Schizosaccharomyces pombe: one gene and its partner. The protein of the gene in region 1 interacts with the protein of each later gene in a pairwise test. Each region holds a gene or a part of one and is shown on either strand. Other genes may lie near its edges. The genes, in order: sec62 and sws1.

The links.
Region 2: the proteins of sec62 (region 1) and sws1 interact in a two-hybrid assay, tested with the Schizosaccharomyces pombe proteins (one large-scale study listed by BioGRID).

What each region holds. Positions count from the first base shown.
Region 1 is NC_003424.3:3,597,174-3,613,691, forward strand, and holds sec62 (translocation subcomplex subunit Sec62), read left to right. Parts: upstream 1-6,901; 5' UTR 6,902-6,918; coding exon 6,919-7,740; 3' UTR 7,741-8,372; downstream 8,373-16,518. Other genes in the region: bro1 (vacuolar protein-sorting protein), read right to left, coding at 1-1,626; rps2401 (40S ribosomal protein eS24), read left to right, coding at 1,930-1,998, 2,068-2,403; SNARE protein Use1, read right to left, coding at 3,014-3,682; FYVE tethering component Pep7, read left to right, coding at 4,706-6,316; SWI/SNF and RSC complex subunit Ssr1, read left to right, coding at 8,625-10,208; ghs2 (glucosidase), read right to left, coding at 10,656-12,566; cul1 (cullin 1), read left to right, coding at 14,951-15,018, 15,064-15,150, 15,249-15,313, 15,425-15,501, 15,704-16,518. UniProt on the Schizosaccharomyces pombe protein: Acts as a component of the Sec62/63 complex which is involved in SRP-independent post-translational translocation across the endoplasmic reticulum (ER) and functions together with the Sec61 complex and bip1 in a channel-forming translocon complex.
Region 2 is NC_003423.3:1,492,865-1,497,906, forward strand, and holds sws1 (SWIM domain-containing Srs2-interacting protein 1), read left to right. Parts: upstream 1-1,965; 5' UTR 1,966-2,091; exon of another isoform or gene 2,092-2,153; 5' UTR 2,154-2,287; coding exon 2,288-2,917; 3' UTR 2,918-3,147; downstream 3,148-5,042. Other genes in the region: random septum position protein, DNAJ domain protein Rsp1, read right to left, coding at 205-1,689; aminophospholipid translocase regulatory protein Ivn1, read right to left, coding at 3,232-4,155, 4,378-4,516, 4,575-4,627.

The DNA of each region.
Region 1 (16,518 bases):
TACATCATCTTTTACTAAAGCATATTGTTGGGATATAGCGGAATCAGTAGCGGAAGCCTCTGCCAAGGTCTTCAAGTAATTGTTGAGTTCACTTTGATAAGGAGCGGCAAACTCTAAGCTATCTGATAACGTCCACGAGGGTCCAAGTTTCGCCTTCATCTTGGCATTTTCATTGGCTTCCACTTCTAAGTCACTCTTAATTTTCGCTATAATTTGCTTCAACTTTGTGGATTTTGCAAACAACTCGTGAATTTTAAAAGTAGGATTAAAAGAAATAAGTTGGGAACGAGCTTCTATAAGTTCTTTCGGAATAAAGTTCGTTTTGGAATCCGAATGTGTGATTTCTTGAAGCCGGCTAAGGTCTAAGGAGGCGAAAACCGTTGCCATTTGGGTGTTTTGTCGTTCTACTTCAGCTTGTTCAGCGCGAAACACTTTGGCAGTCTCCTCTGAATACAGCGAACTGGCGGTCGTAACGGCGCTAGGCACAAAGGCCTTGAACAAATCATCTCCAACAATTTTTTTTGCAGTTTCAAATCCATCTTGACTTCCATACAATTTCTCTAAAGGAAGTGGTGGTAGAGCTTGCAAAGGAGATATTTTTGGGAGCTCAACTTCCTTGACTACAAGATCATGAAACACAAAGTCATTATCTTTCTCAGCAGTTTTTAACAAATGAGACAAGGAGGATTTGATGAAGGTAGAAATGGTCTGAGGATAGTCAGAAAGACTAGGCTTATGAATAAAATCAGTACTCAACTTTATACCATTGAATAACTTTTGAGCAGACGAAAGAATTGACTTAGCTTGTTGTAAATATCCAATAGCAAGCCCTTGTTTCGATTTTTCCAACTGAGCGCGTGCCATAAAATAAGAGGAAAATCCCTCAAGGGCGGCCTTTTTGGCAGAAGCAAGCCGTATGAAATTGGGATTGCACGCCGGTTCCATAGATTCAAATGCGTGTACACAGCTATCATATAAAGTAGCTGCCGAACTAGCAATCTTTGCAGCCAACGAATAGTTCATGTTAGAGTCACTAGCTGAAAAAGACATATGTCCCAAGACACACTCCTGTGCTTGACCCAAGAAAAGATTGTAAATACCTAGTAAAAAATTGGAATCTAAATCTCTTCCAGGTGCATGAATGAAAGATTCGCGTAAGAGTTTGGCAATACCGCTAGCGCATTGTAAACAATTGGCGGCCGCCTTATAATCATCCACAGTGTAAGCAGATGCATGATTAGCAGCCATTCGGGAAAGCAATGAAACCAAATTGAATAAAACCGATGCTTTTTCAAAGGCAAGAGAAGATTGCTTGACGAAATCTGCATCGGGATCTAAGATATCGCTCCACTCAAAAGAAATGTTGATTCCATTACCACCAGTGGGAAATCGGAAAGACAAATAGTCAAGTTGTCCGTAATAAGAATACAAAATATCCTTACCAGCAACTGTGTCATCGACGTCTGCTGCGTTTTCTCTCAAAGTGTTGAACGCCTTAATTTGATCTTCGACATCAACACTATTTCCATATATTCGAGATACGAACGTAGTAAATGGCTCAACCCAATCTGAATGCTTTGTTTCCTTTTTATTTAAGTAAAAAAAAGGAGTAGCAAGTTTCTCCATCCTTTAAAATTCCTTATAAAAGAGCCAATGCCCCTATAGTTCTATGCACTCGACAAGCTGACTTAATTGACTAAATTCAGTCAAGCCAACGATGCACTAATCCTCGTTAAGACAAGTGAAGGAATACCTACATAATTTTCTATTATATTTACAAGTCCCTTTGATCTCCTTAAAGCAATATACCGTTGTTTGTGTAGTTACTCAAGTATTCACTATTCTTTCTTTGTACCACATCTTGTGACTGCCTTCTTTGGGGTAAAATTTTGGAATTCGTGGGCGCTAGATAGTTGTATTAAGACCAATATGAGTGAGGCGGTTACAATCAGAACTCGCAAGTTTATGACCAACCGCTTGCTTCAGAGGAAGCAAATGGTATGTATTTTTTTGCTTATAAGTTCTTTACGATCAGACGTGGCATATACTAACATGAGGGCGTTTTAGGTGGTCGACATTTTGCATCCTGGCAAGGCCAACATTTCCAAAAACGATCTTCGTGAAAAATTGGGTCAAATGTACAAGACTGATGCAAGTGCTGTCCAGGCATTTGGTCTTCGTACCCATTATGGTGGTGGAAGAACCACTGGTTTTGCATTGATTTACGACGACGTCGAGGCCATGAAGAAGTTTGAGCCCCATTATCGTCTTGTCCGTGTTGGACATGCCGAGCCTATCCAAAAGGTTGCTCGTCAACAACGCAAGCAACGTAAGAACAGAGGCAAGAAGGTCTTTGGTACTGGCAAGCGTCTTGCCAAGCGCAAGTCTAAGCAACAAGACTAGGCAATCTTATTTTTTCTTGGTTCAGAAAAATAATTTTCATAAAGTAATGAGATGTATTCACTTGATGGAAATGCATTGTTGTATTCGAACGGATTTAATTACGTGTTGCCTAAAATAATATTGTTCAGCTTTCGTGTGAACAGTAGTGAATGAAGTAAATAATCTTCAATAACTAGAGTTTGATCTCTAATATAATAATTTTTGAACATGCGGTATATGTTGTATTTTATGATAGTTTAATAGTTTTGTAATGTAATGATGTTGTTTCTTATTTACTAAAAACATAAGAGTTGAGGGCAGTGTCAATTGATAAAGGAATGGGCTAATATTGACTCAGCTGTTGGAAAAAGGTTAAATGAAATAAAACAATGGTAAATTGCGTATGCTTTGGTTATTCAATTTACTTATATCATCTACGCATTGATCTCAAATACAAAAAAAACATGAATACGTTCGAGTAAGAAAACAACTTGAAACAACAATAATGGTTGTGTATCAAAATGTATATTAAAAAGAAACGGGTGTACTGTTACCACTGCGATAACTTAAGGGGAAAAAAATTTATCAACAAAAGGAAGCAGTCCGAGAATTCTTTACGAAAATAAAATAATTAATTTTGATTTTTGGTAAACTGTAGGATAAAGATCATCACGATAAAAGAAACAACTACAGCAATGATCATTCCTAACTGTAGCCAAAAAGACAGCCTTTTTGACTTAGAGTAGCTTTGAACACCGTGGTTGGCATGTCTCAGACTGTGGGCATTCTTGTCGAGTAAGCTTCCTGTACGCTCTACCACTTGATTATCAGTTACTAGAGCATTTGTGAAAGATAAAGCGTTTTCTTTTAGAACAGATGCCAAATGCAAAAGTGACTCAGATATCTCAGTTTGCATTGAACGCTGGTTTGTGAGCAATTGGGCATTGGAAGCTTCGACATTCGACATCTGTTGTCGCTCTCTAAGCTCCCTTTCTTGAATACTCTGAAGAGCATGCGCGATCTCCTTCTCTTGTTTACTTTTTATCTTTTTCTCTTCAATTTTCAGCTTTTTTTCCATGGTAACATTTAAATCATAAATCCTACCCTGTAAATCCATGATTCTCTTCGAAAGCCCTTGAGGTTCAGCAACTTTGTCAAGTTGGCATTTTCCTTCTTCCCATAATAATTTCCTTGCATAATCAAGATTCTTTTCAAATTTTAAAAGTTCCAATGGGTCTTGAAACTCATCACGTTTCAACTTGAATTGTCGCTCCAACCTACTGATCAAATCTTTACTCATTTTAAAGCCTATGGAGTGAGCATTTCATAAGAATATCTCTCTCCTATAAAGAAAGTTATGTAAAGCGCTTTAAACTGGGGTTCCTGATATTTTATAAGTAGTTTGAGTTGAGTAGGTTATCAGGTGCATGTCATCTTATACACATACTAATTTTCACCTTGTATGAGTATTTTGGGTTTCAGAGTAGACGATTATAGTATTTTATATATTATTCATTTATAAGGATGTACTAACATTTAATTAAAACCGTATTTCTCTTTGAATACGTATTTTTGTACCAAGTGCCTTGACTATAAAATGCTATTTTAATCTCAATCTAATGAAGTATGAGAAGCTTAATAATCCTTATGTTAAAAGAATTGCATGAACCGTAATGCCTTAACTTAAAGGTGTCAATAAACATTAGCGTATTTACCTTACTATATATTTCAAGTCATGGAGGATATATGTTGTAAATAAACTTGACAGAATCTTTAAAAACGCAAGGATCTTGAGTTGCATTCCTTGCCATTGCATTGGCAAATTTTGAAATAACACTTATAGTACGCAAAGACGACCAGGCTGCCTTCGTGTTAGATTTTTGATAAAGCGATCTTTCTTCTTATTTAAATAAGCACTGCTAAAGACTACATACCTTGTAACTCCATTTGTCGTTATTTCAATTTATTCAGACCGGATGTTTTCCTGAATTGAAAATTAAACAAAATTGCAGTCTAACTCTTTAATTATTTGATCAGAGGATTTGTGATTTCTTTAGAATCTCTCATAATTTTATTTTAAACAACTTAATTTATTAAATTTCTAATGTTTGTTTATTCTGTGTTTAGCATTCCACCAGGTTAACCAGTTGTCTACTCTTCTAACAGTGATAATTCTTACCGTCAGGCGAATTCAGCACCTTTGCAAGAGCAAGCTCTGTGTAATAATAATTTATAAACTTTAGCTACTTTTAATTATATAGCCACTGAAAAGGCTTCAATTGCCTGAAATTCTCGTCTAAAAATCAAGTTCAGAGGGATTACTATGCAAAATGGTAAAAGACGTATTGGAGTCCGAATTTCTTCCAATTTGAGCAATCATTCCGGGACTAATCTTTCTACTAGTGCTCAAAGTGATTCTTCAAATATCGTTAAAGCCACTGAATGCCCAATTTGTGGGCTGGAATTACCAAATTTGTCAGCATTAAATGATCATCTCGATGTTACTCATTTCAATGATAATGAAAAAATCCACAAGCGACAAGATTCCATTAATTCATGGCTAACAAGGACTTTAAATGGTGCTTCAGCTCTGCAAATGAAAGCCGCTCAACGTCTTTGGAGAATGGAACCATATGAACAGAATGGGGATTCATCAGGTGCTGTCGGCCTTGAAGCAACTAAGCTCACAGATTCCTTGGTTGTCAAAAATCACTGGCAACCAGAGGTTCCTGACATGGTCTGCCATGACCCGATGTGTGATAAGCTTTTAAATTTCATCAATGGTCATATTCATTGTCGTAAATGCGGTTATATCTTCTGCAACTTTCACTCAATGTACCAGATCAAACTCAGTATTCATGCTACCTACGACTCTGAAAATGGATTTTGGTGTCGTGTTTGTCGAGAATGTTATGAAGGACGTCCTGGGTATAATGATTCAAATGGTTTAATTCGCTCACGTTTTCAAACATTCGAAACTTTTCGAAAACCTTTAGCTGATAAAAGAAGAATAGAGTTTTTAAGATTAAGCAAACGTATGAAAAAACTTGAAGAGCTATGGACATCGGAAAATGTCTCGATGCTTGATGCGCTTCTTTTGAACAAGGCTAAAAGGCTGGAGCAAAGCATCGTTCATTGGCAAGATGATTCCGTTGTACAAATTTGTCCTGAATGCAACAATTCTTTTACTCTAACTAGAAGACGCCGGCATTGTCGGCTTTGCGGACGCGTGATCTGCAGATTCTGTGTATTAGAGATTAGTCTTCCTCAACACCCGCAACCTCTCCTCATCTGTATGAGTTGCAATCAAAATTATTTCCGTAACGTTCTTTATCAAACGGAAAGATCGAAATCACTTGGCTACATCCGACATATTGAACACTTGCAAGTTTTTAGACAGGCTATGGTAAATTACTATCGACTTTACGAGGATTCTTTGTCTGAATTACTAAGTGGTGAAATAATCACTGAAGCGACCCTGAAAATAGTAAAAGATAGACGAAAAAAATTTCTTGAGCTATGTGTGAAATATGATGGAACTATGAAAAAAATCGCCAATCATCCCTCATCCAATGATGCTGAAGAACAATTTAAGCAGAATGTTGTTAATGAAGCAAAAAGATATTTACAAGAAACCATATTGCGTTTGCAGGCCATTCCTTACCATTTGCAGGTTGGCCAAGCTTGGACTTCTGAGTCTGAACGTGAGCTAGAAAAGAAGAAAGAGCAAGTTGAAAAGAAGCAAGAAGAGTTGATGCAAACAAGAATAGTTTTAGAGGAGCAAGTTTTCCTCGTTGAAAATATGATTGAAGATGCTAAAGCGAAACGAAAGTTTTCTGAGGTAGAGACTTTACTCTCCAGTCTTGCACCTTTGCATGAGGAAATTCATTCAATCACTGAAAAGATTCATGACTTGGATCTTTTTGATATTTGAGGATTTTTTCAATAAAGGAAATTTGACTTGTTTAATGATGCTGTTTCACTTTTATGTAATCAAAATTTCCTAGTTAATGTGTTGCGAAGGTTAGTCATATGATGGATGAGTGAATAATTGTATAGATAAATATTTATTGATGAAATGAATTTGAAGACTTTGCTTTCCTCGTCGAACAGCAATGAATGTTATCAATTAAGTTGAATAGGAAGAGCATCTTTTTTAGAGTTAACTTCTGAAGATTAGTATTCCTTAATCAGTGCTTTACTCTCCCTAATAATCAAATATTTTTTTCAAGTGTTATAGTATAATTAAGTTATGAATATGGGGCACAGGCACAAAAATTTAAGACTGAATTAACTTTTTGAACTATCCAACTTTACAAATTTACTTAAAGAATGAATCAATATTCGACAGCATGATAATAACAATGATTAAACTAAATGTAAAATTTATAATATAGATTTTCCCAAATCTATAATACTGAATTTTGATTTTGGCTTTACCTCGTGACCTAAATATCGTTACCTTAAAGACGTGTACAGACTTCATCTACTCCAGAACCACATTATTTTAGATTTTTCCAAACAAGGATTTTGCCTATGGATTCTTCTAATGTACCAGTTTTGAAGGATGAAGACAAGTGCAAGTTTTCGATGCGCTTTACAAACTTCCTCAAGTCTCGCCCTGAGCTGAAAACAAAGCCAGCGATCCTCAATGGAAAACGTGTATACTACTTTCGTGTGAAGCGTGTTCTTCGCTTTTTAACATCCGAAGCGTATACGCCTAAGAAATACAAAGGGTTTCCAGAAATTTCAAGCCGTGAGGAAGCAATCGAAGTTCTCAAATTGCTCATTATGAATTCGATGCTGGTTCGCGTTGATAAACTCCCCCCTAAACAAAGAAAGCAGAAGCTTGTAGAATTACAGATAAATCGTAATCAAGATTTTCAAGACGATATGCATTATGTTTGGCTCTACGAGCCTCTTCCAAAACGCGTTATGGCTTTGGCAGTACTGTTCGCTCTTGTCGTATTGGCACTCGTTTTGTTCCCCTTGTGGCCAATGTTTATGCGCAAGGGTGCTTGGTATTTAAGTATGGGAGGCCTTGGAGTAATCGGTCTATTCTTTGTTTTGGTTATTTTACGTTTTTTCTTATTTTGCATTACTGCTGTCATCGTGCGCCCTGGCATTTGGCTATTCCCCAATCTTCTTGCCGACGTTGGCTTCTGTGATAGCTTTAAACCTTTATGGAGTTGGCACAATTCCAAATCTGAGGTAAAGAAGACAAGGAAATCCAAGAAATTGTCAAAAAAAGCCACTTCACCAGCTGCTTCTGCAACTCCTGAAAAGTCTTCTACGTCCACCACTTCTTTAAAGAATTTAAGGCACAGAAATCCTACCGTCGAAGAAGTCTCTGAATAAAAATTAATTGTTGTACCGTTGATGAATCCAGTCACTCAGCCACTATTACTTACTTTAAAAAAAAATAGTGCATATCTTTACGTTATCAATTCTCCTTATACAATTTATTTCGTCTATGTTTTCGGAGAAAGGTTCTTTGAGATTCTAAATGTGTTTTCCAAGAAACCTTGGCGTTCTCATTTTATGCCCAAACGTATACATATATAATCAGTATATACTAAATGAGGACACTAAATTCTTTTGTGTTTCTTATTGTTACGCATTTTAATTACGGCAAGTTTGTCAGTCAATGAATATTTACTCTTATTGACACACAATTCTTGCTTAACCCATTTATATGAAGCGTTTTAATTTATGTACCACTCCTGGTAGGTGGTTTGATAATTCCCTTATTCTTTTAATCTCAATTTATAACACATTTGAGCGAAATTACTAGATTCTTAGCTTGCTTTTCTCCTTTTAAAGCTAGTATAGCATTTCCTCATGACACAAGGAGTGCATTCTTACTATAGTTGGCTGATCACATAGGAGTGATTATAATTACAAGTTCACTAATATTCATGGTATAAATTGTCATCATATCATATGATATTTAACTTCATATCAATAAATTTTACTTTCCATATTGAATATTTTCTCAATTCTTTAGTGTATAGTGCGTTTGCTGTATATTTCGTTAACCAGACATCGTCATTCTAAGTCAACTCCCACTACCTACTAATTGCAGGGCATTTTAAAAAAACTTGAATTTTCAAGGTATCCCTCAATCATATAGGGTAATACATATTATTTTTCGTTGATTAAGTGCATTTTATTGACGTGAAGCTTTTAAAGCCCTTGGCGTTGAGGATTTTGTAAATATTATACTAGACTCTAACACCACAATGTCCAACGTTACTGAAAATAAACATGACTTACACGAAAACGGGGTACCAGATTCTGCTCAGCCAATGGAATTGGATGTTTCTAAAAAGGAGGACACTGAACCAGAAGTCAGAGACGAGGCCAAAGAATTTTTGTTGAGCCAGTTACCACAAGTAGAAGTCCCTGAGTGGGCGCAATGGTTTGATTTCTCTAAAGTTCACGAAATTGAGAAAAAACAAAACCCTGAGTTCTTTGATGGAAAAAATACGTCGAAAACACCAGAGGTATATAAGGAATACCGAGATTTTATGATTAGTACTTTTCGATTGAACTCCAAAGTTTATTTGACTTTCACGGCTTGCCGAAGGAATTTGGCTGGTGATGTATGTGCTGTCTTGCGTGTCCATAGATTTCTAGAGCAATGGGGATTAATCAACTATAACGTTAACCCCGATACTCGGCCTTCGAAAATAGGTCCCCCTTCCACAAGTCATTTCCAAATCCTTGCTGATACTCCTCGTGGATTGGTACCACTTCTTCCACCTCCCTCTTCTTCAATTCCTCGTTCCAAAGCTGTTACCATTGAAGATCCTTCGATTGTCCGAACAAATATTTATGATCCCTCTCTCGACGATGTCTTAAAAGGTAAGGGTTCAACTCCGAATCAAAAACCAAGCCTTTCGAACCTTCATGAAAACAACATTGATCAGTCAGATTCTCCACAGCATTGTTACTGTTGCGGTAATAAATTTAATGAAAGTTACTACCAATCTCAAACGGCCCAAAAATATAACGTTTGTATAAGTTGCTACCAACAAAATCGGTTTCCTTCACCGACCACAATTGCTGATTATAAGGAGGTCGCAATACAAAATAAAATTGAAGATGATGATACATGGACTGCACAAGAACTTGTTCTTTTGTCAGAGGGAGTGGAAATGTATAGTGACGACTGGGCAAAGGTTGCTTCTCATGTGAACACAAAAAGTGTTGAAGAGTGTATTTTGAAATTCCTTAATCTTCCTTCTTCCGACAAAGCTTTATTTAAAATGGACAAAGTGCATACCAATCCTGTGGTTGATTCTTTGCAGGGGAAGAACCCTATTTTATCCGTAGTCTCTTTCTTAGCCAAAATGGTACCACCTTCTTCTTTCACACAGAAAAGCAGCGCAAAAGAGGAGGAGTCGGATAAAGTTAAAGGTGAATCGGTTTATCCCAAACCAGAGTCAGAAAGTTATGATGTCGAGATGAATGGTAAATCATTGGAGGACTCTGATAGTCTATCAGAGTTATATCTAACTAATGAAGAAAAGAAAATGGCTTCTATTATAAAGGATTCTGTTAACGTGCAAATTAAGCTAATTGAATCCAAGTTATCTCATTTTGATTATCTTGATCAGCACATTCGTCTTAAATCCCAAGAATTAGATGCCTTTGCACAGGCAACTTATAGGGAAAAATTGTATATGAAACGAGAGTGTCAAAATGCCCGCAAAAAAATAGAGCAACAACTACAATCGAAGGATACTGCCGCAAATGGTCTACCAGTTCAAAGCTCCGCTGAAACTTCTGTTATCCCAGCTTCTTCTATGAGTCCTTCTTAATAATCTCAACTAATATGCTTATCGGATAAAAATTTATTAGGCTTTTATTTAAATGAATTTTTTTTTTATCTTATCTTAATGTCTTTGACATATCTAGTTTACTCAACTTTTGCGGCCCAAGTTCGGGCTATTCAGCTTGATCTCTTAACATTCGGCTGATTGATAGATTGACTAGAGAGCTATAGCATTCTAAGGGCAACAATTTTAACGTACTAGTATATACCAGTTGTTATCAAATTTTGAAAGTAAGGTCAGCTCAAACGTTGTGTAAATCCTTTGTGTCGTATGTTAAATTATGCAACAAATGAAAGAACTGAGAGAAAAGAAAGAAGGGACTAACTAATGGTTTATGTGAAACTCTATGAAAGTAAATGAAAAGAAATAAAGAATGAAGACAAAATGCCGCTTAATATGGATTTCGCAATCCTTACATTAAAATGAAGTTTTTCAACATCCGTCCATGAGTGAGTTTTTGGGGCGAACATATCCTGCTTCTGACCAACTGGTTGCATTATAATTTAGGTAGGCTTTAGGATGGTTCGCAATATATTCAGTAGTAGGGAAACCTTCAGGATCACAACCAAGCACGCTACTGGAATCAGAAGAGTCTTGATAAATTCTGACATAATCCACATACATTGTTTGAGGAAACGTTAATTCGTACCAATAAAAATAAATCCAAGTAGGAGAAATACCAAAGTTAAGGACGACGATCATGGGTTCTTCACTAACAGGTCGAGAAGCTATGTTTCCGTTTTGGCCCACAGCTGGTTGACGCATTGTCCATGTATACTCATCACCAACAAACCAAGAAATAAGCGCATCCGGACCACTTCCAGGTTTATAATCAAAACCATACTTTTGATAAGCATTACCGCTAAGCCAAGAATTATTTAATTGACTAGCACAAGACAAAGCCTGCTGATAAACACCACCGGCCCAACCGTTCATTGCTGAAACACTTTGATTGTAGATGGTAACGAAATCGTAATTGGGATACATATAGAGGTCGAAAGGAGCATATTGTGCTGATTGAGAAACGACAGGCATGGTTTCCAAGTAAATAGATCCATTGTAAGGAATACCACTGCCGAATGTACCTTCCAAGGCATCAATTTCAGGTCCTCCACGACCTGTACCAACATTGGGATGATCTTCACCCTTACAAACACATTGGTTTAAGCGTTGTCCACCCAAATATGAAATGCCACTAGGATCCGACTGATTAGGAGTAATTCCGGCATCACATGAATTATAAGAATAAGGCCAGACGCCATCAGATGTTGCAAGGTATCCTGGACGAACCAAATTACCTATAGTCCAAATACCTGGCCAAAAACCAGGAATATAAGGGGAGCCTCCTAAGGATGCAGATACCTCGATTCTACCACCCTTAAAGCATAATTTATTCCAGGTGGTAACCATGCCGCTACGGAAATTAAGATCATGATTGTAAAACGCATCCATACGAAGACGAAGTGTTCCGTTTGCCGTAGTGGGCGTATCAGCGTCGTAGTATTCATAATCGGTAGTTGCAGCGTAATGAAGGTCAGTTGCTAACCAAAATTGGTCATCGCCGTCATAAAATGCACGACCAGGGTAATTAAATTCATCAGAAAAAACAAGATCCAGAGTACCTAAATCCTGAGAATCAAACGTATAAGCACTTTCGGGGGTATCAGGATCTATCAAGCTTCCATAACGTAATAAACGTAAAATCCGAAATTGATGATTTGTAATACCAGTAACACGAGTACTAGCAAGTGAGTTATGGCCCGTGTATGTAAGAATGGGTAATCCAATAAACAGCATACCTGTCCCAGCAGCTAAAAAGAGAAGAAACAAGAGTTGCATTAATCCTTCTCCGCCTACGAAATAACTTAACTTTTTAGCATCTTTAGCGGGCAAAGGATAATGGAGAAAATCGTCAATTTCTTTATCTTCTCTACTCAAAGAAAAGTCGGATTCACCAGCGGTAGGACCGGCAAAAGCAACAGCCTCCAGTTTATTAATATTTTCAATATCATCAACTATGCTATTGTTTTGAGGTGAGGTAGAATACATATCTGATCCTGCGCTATTTCCACCGTTAGGATATCTATTATATGTCTGAGAGCTGGGTCTAATAGAGAATCTATGGGTATAGCCACTAGCTCTTGTTCCGCCGACACCGGCTGCCAAGGCTGCACTGCTAAATGTAGCGTTGGAGGCATTGTTGTACAACAGACGAGTAGAGGAATCGGTGGGATTTGTGAAAGAAGAAGTACTGGTGTCTCTCGAAGCGTACATAGAACCAATCTCATTCACGTTACCATCCGAAGGGGTTTTGCGATTTAAATCGCCACGTACATTATACATGATAAATCCAACGAAACCAGTTAAATCCCAAGAAAGAAGAACAAAAATGAATGAAAAGAAAGCTTAGTTAAAGAAGATTTCGCGCTTAGACACGTAACCACAAAAAGTCTTCGCTGAGTTGTGACAGCAAATAGTCTTCAAAATACTTCCAGCAAGTAAAAAAAAAAAAAAAACGTTAAACAAAAAACAAAAAGAATCTAAAGGAAAAAGATGATGAGCCTCAATCTCGAGAACGAAAGCTAATTCACTTGAAAATTTTCCTTTTTCTTGTAAAGTGCTCGAAAGCACTTTTCGCGTAAACGCACAAAGTATTTAAAAAATAAATACAAAAGAATGAATACTTGTAGCGATTTTGGAACGCTGGTGTACCTCACCAAGGTGGAAATACGGAAAGGTAGTATATAGGACTAGGCAAACTCCAAATGGTTGTTTGCGGACAATAGCGAGGCAAAGTCGGCGGAAGTTTAAAAAGACTTGAATGAAAGAACAACTAGGTATTCTTTTTACAGATTAATAAAAGGAACAGGATTTTAAAATGGATAGTTAACCTTCCAAGTGTTGAAAAAAAAATTAAAAACAAAAGCCAAATTAATGACTTAAAAGTCCAAGTAACTTTTTTGAAATAAAGTTTGGTCAGTTCATAAAACAAGTATTTTCTTTTTTTTTTTTTTTTTTTGAGAAAAAAGAGGATTTGTTTACAGAAAAAAACAGGAAAGCAGAAAGACAGCGGTTTGAATAGCACAAGCTGAACTAGCTTATTTATAACGAAATTTTAAGTAAATACTGGAGACAAAGGTTAGTTATCCTCCCCCAATAAGATAACTGAGAAAAAGTCGATTAAGATAAAATTATGGAGAGAGAAATCAAAAGAAAGAAGAAAGGCCTAAAATAATAAGAAGATTGTATAATGACTATGGATTACTACTTTAAAATATATCTCTTAATATCACAGTATATAAACACTCTTGACTATTAGTGTGGAAATTGATGATGGATTGCAAAGAAAAGATGAGCGGATAGTTTCTAGAAAAAATTTTGGAATTCAAAAGACGAAGCAGTGATGTAAATAGCTTTTTTGCAGAGTTTCTTATGTTGAAATTGAATAATTACATAGAAACTTGAAGGTTCAAGGTTCATAAAAACGGAGAAAATGGGATATAATAGCAAATAAAAGAGAGAAACAGATATTATGTTTGTTTTTTAGAAAGAATCTCAACAAATTACAGATATTTTGATTGTATTGGAATACTAAACAAAAAAATATGTAAGTAAATAGTCAAGTGAGCAAAGTAGAACAATGCTGGCCACGCGTTAAAGGGGGAAAGGTGGTTAGCGAAGAATGGAATGTTTTCAACTCATTATTGCCATTCTACGAATATAAAAACACCTAAATTGTAAAAAAAAATAAAAAAAATAAAGCAAGCAAGTTTAAGTGATAAAGGAGGAAGCTAATTAGTTATGAAATTGAGAATAATTTTTGGTCTTATTCAGAATTAATAATAATTCGTCTGTTCCTAAGTGAATATAGAAAGCAGACTCCAAACGTGCGTATCCAAGCGCATTCTATTACTTTTATTTTAGTAGGTAAATGATAAAAAGTTCAATTTGAGGCCGCTTTTGATGCATCAACATTTTGCGACAATTTTACTTAGGAATTGGCTACCGTTAACGGCACTCAGAATTGTTTGAGGATGAGGCTCTGATGGTAAACAATAGATGGCGGTGCTCAAAAGATGGTATGAAGAGGTAATTTGTAGCGCGTTTGAGAAAGAGAAGGAAAAGTATTTCTGTTTTACAACATCTATGAAAGAGCATCCTGTTATGTTGGCCACATTGAAAATGTCAACCTATTTGAGGTCCAAATTAAACCCTTTTCAACATTTGTAAATATTTCATGGGTTTGAGATTTTCATTTAGTACAATATTACTATACACTTGTCAGAGATATCTTTTACACCATATGTGTATTTGCATCGAGCACTCAATATCCAGCGGATCGCATACATCATTCTTTTGGCAGAACAATAACTCAAATTTAAAGGATTTCTTTGGCATATTCATGTATATGTTGATAAATATTGGCTTTATGTCTTTGTTTTCATAATAATAAATGCGTTAATGAAGAATTTTTTAATATAATAATTATTTACTTAAAAAAAAATTAGATATTAAATATAATCTTATAAAGCACTTTTATAATGAGCTTTTGCTACGTACACCTGGCTACCTCTTGTACCTTCGTTCACTTCGTCGTTACCTGTAGGTTCTTGAAAGGATCAGTGCTACTATTTACTACGTTTACTCTATCTGCCATCTAAGAAAGAGCAATTGTGTGCTGAATAAAATATATTTTACTTGTTATACATTTATAACCATTTTGGTTAATGACTACTTTGAATACCAACGATAAAGACCTCCCGATTGTTAAAAAATATGATTCATTGAATGGAACGTATGTTACATTGTAACTGATTGACGATTGCTGATCTATATGCAGTTGGGACTTTTTAAAAACAGGTGTGTCCCAAATATTTGAAAGGCTAGATGAAGGAATGACTATCACTAAGTATATGGAGCTTTATACGTAAGTTAGTCCAATATTTTGAGATCTGAATACTAGTATATTAGTTATCAGATATTTCATGGCACCTATATTTATATACTTACATACTTTATTTTTAGAGCAATCCATAACTACTGTGCTGATGCGTCCAAAACTATAACGGTGGACAATTTCAACGATCAAAGTACGTAAAAAATAGATAAAAATTTATATTTTGACTCAGAATTTGTCAAAAAGAAGAACTACATATATTTTCTTATGATTATTTTCACTGGATTCTAACTGTATGTGCTAGCTGCAAACGTTTTAGGCGAAGCCCTTTACAATAATTTGGTTCTATATCTGGAAGAGTATTTGGCCCGTCTGCGAAAGGTGAGTTTAAATATCGGTTTTTTATTTATAATTCTACGACAAAGATTTCATTGCACCTCGAGTGTTCAGCAGTTTTCTTTAATTTCTAAACATTTTCTCTGGACATTTTAAAGAGTGCTAGCATAAGCATCTGGTCTTTTATTATGATTAAGGAATAAATTGCATTATGTGGTAATTTTTCTCGTGCTAATTGGCGCTTTAGGAATGCATTTCGCAAACGAATCATGAAGAGCAACTCGCTGCGTATGCCAAGTATTGGACGCGATTTACAACATCTGCCCGTTTTATCAACCATCTTTTTGGATATTTAAATAGATATTGGGTTAAACTGAAGAACAGATTTACTGAGACACTCGTGTACGACATTTACACACTTTGTCTTGTGTCATGGCATCATCACGTTTTTTCCCACATTCGCGATAGCCTACTTCAAAATTTGTTATACATGTTCACCAAAAAAAGATTATATGAACCTACTGATATGAAATATGTGGAAGTTTGTGTGGATTCTATCACTTCATTGAGCTTTGATAAAACCGATATGACAAAGCCTAACTTGAGCTCATACAAAACTTTTTTCGAAACAAACTTTATTGAAAATACAAAAAACTTTTATGCAAAGGAGTCTTCCGAATACTTGGCTTCCCATTCTATTACGGATTACTTAAAAAAGGCAGAAATAAGACTAGCAGAGGAGGAAGAGCTTGTGAGATTATATTTGCATGAATCCACATTGAAGCCGCTTTTAGAAGCGACTGAAGATGTACTAATTGCACAACATGAAGAAGTTTTGCACAACGACTTTGCACGCATGCTCGACCAAAACTGCAGTGAGGATATCATTCGCATGTACCGATTGATGTCTCGAACACCTAATGGGTTGCAGCCTTTACGCCAGACATTTGAGGAGTTTGTCAAGAGATCAGGCTTTGCTGCGGTTGCCAAAATTGTTCCCCAGGTCGGTGGAGAAGCCGATGTGGATCCTAAAGAGTATATGGAAATGTTACTTTCCACGTA
Region 2 (5,042 bases), on another chromosome or scaffold:
TACAATTCGCTCCCTGAGTAAGCTATTAAACACATGCCCTTTTTACAAAGTCGTTGGTTCTGGTGTATGCTTGAAGTATGGGTAAGTGAACTGGGTAAAAAATAATATTAATAAATTGAATGTTAAACGTTATGAAGAAGAAATAAAATTTTCAAATAAAAATTTTAATACTAAATTTAATACTTAATGAGGAAATAATAATCATTATATACCAAAAGATGCGAAAAGGCTTTCCTTTAAAGATTGTAGTTCTTCCAAAGCTCTCAAATGCATTTGTTCATATGCATAAAATAACTGTATAGCTTGTGACCCTTCCTTCCAATTATCAATTAATCGTGATTGTCCAGGAGTATTCATTAAGTCGAGTTGGAAGCATTTATTTTTGAAGATTTGCCATTGAAATGCATACTGTGTATAAATGATAGAATAAGACGACCAGCGTCTCTGATACATTTCAAAGGAATTTAGATAGCTATCTACAGAGGCATTAGTCAGGTTTCTCGGTGCCTCTGGAGGGATGGGTGCCTGGATAGTTGGAACGGATGGAGGTTTGGGCAGCACTTTAGCAACTTCATCATCATCCCCTTCAATGGCAAGGGATCTCAGTATCGACTGAAGCTGGTCATCATACTCAGTCGAGTTAGATGTTGAATCGTTCTCTGCGGACAAGTCATTTAGCTGAGACCGAGTTTGATTTCGAGAAAGAGAAGAAGATTTAGAACGACTTAAGGGCTTAGGGGGTAAAGGTTTAGAAGTGGGATGTCTAAATGGAATTTCAGGTTTTGATGGTGAATTATTATCAGAATGCTCAAGTTTTATTTCAGGTGTGATATCAGTTTGATAAACGGATGGGTGCTCTGGAGTGTTTGGAGAAGTAAAAATAATAGATTCTTCAGATGTATCTTTAAAACGTTCATTATTTGATGAAGAAGAACTTCTTGGAGAGGATTTTGTTATTGAAGAATTTTCAACACCATTGGAATTCAAACCATTGGATATCTCAGACAACGGAGTATAGGTGCGTCGCTTTTCACGAAGCGATTCTAAATACAACTTGGCATTAAATTTATTATAGTTAGGGCCTTTAAAACGAGGACTACTAGAAATTGGATCCACCACGTTTTCAGTAGCATATCCATTCTTCTTAAAAATTGGAGACGTTTTTGGATGCAAATAACCAGATGATATGTAGCTTTTTGAGGTAGATACCTCTTTAAAGCTATTGTTCTTTTCCATTTTTCCGGAAGCGGAAAAAGATCGATGAAGTGAGAAGTTTGTGATATTGTTATCTTTCGAATCTACGTTTTCCCGGTCTTGTTTCTTCTTTTTTTCAGCAAATTTGGTAGCCATTGTGACACTAACCTTGGATGCAACTTTCGTGGAAATATCATTCTTTGGTCCACTTTTTTTTGGACGGAATCGCAGCACCCCATCAGGGCGACCGGCTTCTAGTAATCTTCTTTGATCAAATAACTCTCGAAGCTTTGGATCCTTTAAAACTTCATGAGCTTTTTGTATCAACTGAAACTGTGGAAGAACCTCGGCTTCCCGACCGGGGTTACGATCGGGATGGTATCGTAAAACAAGCTTTAAATATTGCTGTCGAATTTCGACATAACTACTGGTACTTTCCGCTCCAAGGATGGTGTAATAATCCACAAATTCATCATGAAACGCCGTCCTCGCCATTCACGAGCCTTTAAAATATGCGACACCTTTCTTAAAAAGATAAAAAAGTTTGAAATTGGTTTATAAAACTTTTAAATTTCACCCAAGTAATGAAACCTTTGTAACTAACCGATTTTTGAGGTTTTCCTGAAACTGCTCGAAATAGTGTTTTCGACTTAAATTAACTTGTAAAACGTTCGTTCCTTTTTCTTTATTTTCGCAAATATTAGTTAAGAAAAATAAAACGAGTTAAAAATTTTAACGATTAAACTCTACTTTGTATCTTCTATACTTGACTAGAGCAAACAAAGACACCCCTCGAATTTGTGATTTTTACAACTTCATTAGTTTATAGCTTTGCTACGTGTTTTCCGCTTATTAGAACAAGCGAAAGCAAAGCAGATTTTTGCTGTTTTGCTTTTGGTAAGAGTTGATGAACAAAGAAGTAGTGATACTTTGAAACGAATTTGCTAATCTTTTTGAAGAGCCTATTCAATCATCCAAACTTGTCAGCATAAGTCAATAAATTAGATTATTATCTTCATTGTCATCAATTGTGTTTTCTGGATGTTGTTTGAGCTTTATGTTTTGGGGCATTGCTGAGTCTTAATAAACTTCAATGCAGCAGGGTCATTTTACTTCGAATAGTTACCACAGTAAAACTTTAAATAGTTCATCTCTACCTGTATCTTCAAAATTTTCTCACACTAATGATCCTGATGTTGAAGGCGTTGACAATGATAGTTTCTCCAAGGCATTGTGTAACAAAGATTTAGATCCTTCTTCCACTATTCGTTCAGTTATAAGCTCTTTATTAGATTCTTTACAAGATAAAGCGCTCCAACAGTCACCCAACACCTCTTTGTCAAAATTACTGTTGGAAGACCAGGATTTTGGAAGCTTGTGGTTGTCATTAAGTTTTATATTTTGTAACTACTGGCAACCTGCTATGCTGATTTTGGATTCTAAAAGCATTCATCCACTACCATTAACCGATGGTGAAGTTTTACATCGATGGGAATGTGAAGTGGATTCGAATAATAAAACTACGATTGATTTGAAGTATTGGTATTGTTCATGCTCTCAATTCTCTTACAATGCTTTTAATAGCTCGAGATCTTTTGACGAGCCAATGCCCAAAAATGAGCAAGAAACCTGGGGTGGAAGATGTCTTTCCCACCACCCTACGATTTGTTCCCATATTTTAGCTGCTTCGATTTTACGTGCTTGCCATAATCTGGTAATTTAAAAAACGTTAACCCAATTCGTTTAATTGTGACTTGACTATGATATTTAACAGTAAGGGCCGTTTAAATTGCTTTCTCAATGTAAAAGAAGAAAATACGATATGATATTCATACAACGTGATTAAAAAAAAATGTCTTATTCAGATTATGTTATGCTTTAGTTATGATGCAAGTTCATGAACCCTGAACTGGTATAAAAAAGAGAATATTGTAAGTGGAAGACGAAGCTAGCATAAGTGATTAAATGGAAAGTAAATTCCAAAATGTTCATGAAGTAGTATATGTAAAAATAAATGGTAAAGATACTCAAATTCGTTTATGAGCTTTTTCCTCTATTCCAAGATAGATATCTTGGATCGCCTACGCGTCTAGGTTTGATCAAGCAAGCAATACTAAGGATTACACCGCTCGCGGCGCAGAGCCCACCGATAACAAAATAAAGAATTCCTAAAAAGTAGTTCTTTCCTCCAATAACGGATGTTGTTGAAAACATAATAGTTTTCGTTCCTTTATATTCTGTGACAGGAAAGTTATAAGTGATATTCATTTCATAAATGCCAGGTTGAAGTGCAGTAGTAACGTTTCGAAGAGCAAGTTTGCTGAATGTTGGAAGAGCAGCAGCTCTCATCCAAATTTGAAAGGCATCCCATGTAGAAACATCGGGAATATTGTCGTCAGTATATCCATTGGGAAACATTTTTGCCCAATTTGGAGGTGGAACAATTTGGGAAGCATTGTACTTAGTTTTTTTGTATCTTTCTCTATCTTCCGGCCACGCAGTACCATTTGTAGTCATATTGTAAAGTCCAAGGGAATTTGAGCTATCAAAGGATTCGTATCGTAGAAGAGAAGAATAGCTATCGTTGAAAAGCGAGTTTGCGATAATGCCACAGGGGTAATAAGGTTTCCCTTCCTCATTTGCTTCTAACGGCTTGCAGAAACCATAGCTCTTCAGTTGTGCAACAGTTCGTGCTTCGCCTAGCAACTGAAACATATCGGCGCTAACAGTATATCGACGATGGTTTTGATAAAAATTTTTGAGACGATAAAAAGCAAACACGGGACTCGTCATTTCCTCAGGTATTTGGAAACGAAGAGTACATACATCGCCTGATGATTTCCACATCGCTGTTACATTTTTTACATTTTTATATTGGAACTCAATATTCGTGGAAGGAACTTGTTTAAACTCATCGCCTATATTCATGCAATCAGTATAGTCAATTCGCAGCTCTTTGACCTAATAAAATGTTGATTAGCAAATGATCTAGAAAAAATGATATTTTCGGTAACGTTCGGGCTACACGTGTGCTAACACCGACAAAGGATAAGGCTATAATCAGATAAAAATTATTCGCAAATAATCATATCTTTCCAAAATACAGTAATGTATTGCAAAATATACCCAGTTTATCAATTTGAAACATATAGCTCTATGGAAACGCGTGATGCTTAGACTTACCCGTCGACTGGCCACAAACATGCCAGCTCCCAAAGGAGCAAACACTATGCCTAATAAGAATAATAACGGCAAGACTGTCCATGGTGTGAATATAAACTGCCAAGCAGGAAGTGTTTGCTGAACAAACCGAGATTTGTCACTACATACGGATCAGTAAACCAATTTGCCAAAAAACGAATGTAATCAAGACAACTTACGGGCGCTTAAATCTCTTATGCTTTGGTTTTTTAACTATTTCTGTTTGACTCATAGTATATAATCAGGCATTCAACAATGCTTACGAATATGAAGAATGCAAGATTAACTTGGTCCTTGGTAAAAGTGCGAGACTGCGCAAAACTCCATCATCACCTTACTCTCTCGCTGTCACTTGGGTTAGCAGGTTATATGACACAATTTATATGTAAACACAGAGAAAAAAGCATTGATTACAAAAGATATCAAAGTTATTTCATAGTAAATAACTCGTATAGTATTGATTTCCTAAAAGCATTTTTTTTTTGGGTGAAATTTTGAATGACTTATTAAGTTCATTGCTTATAATCGTATATGAAATCGCTAATAGCAGCTGCAGTGAATCAATAAAAAACCTTTCTTATTTTTAATTATGTTAATTATAATTTTTTTGTAGCCGTTTATACACAGTATTCTTGAAAAGATTATTT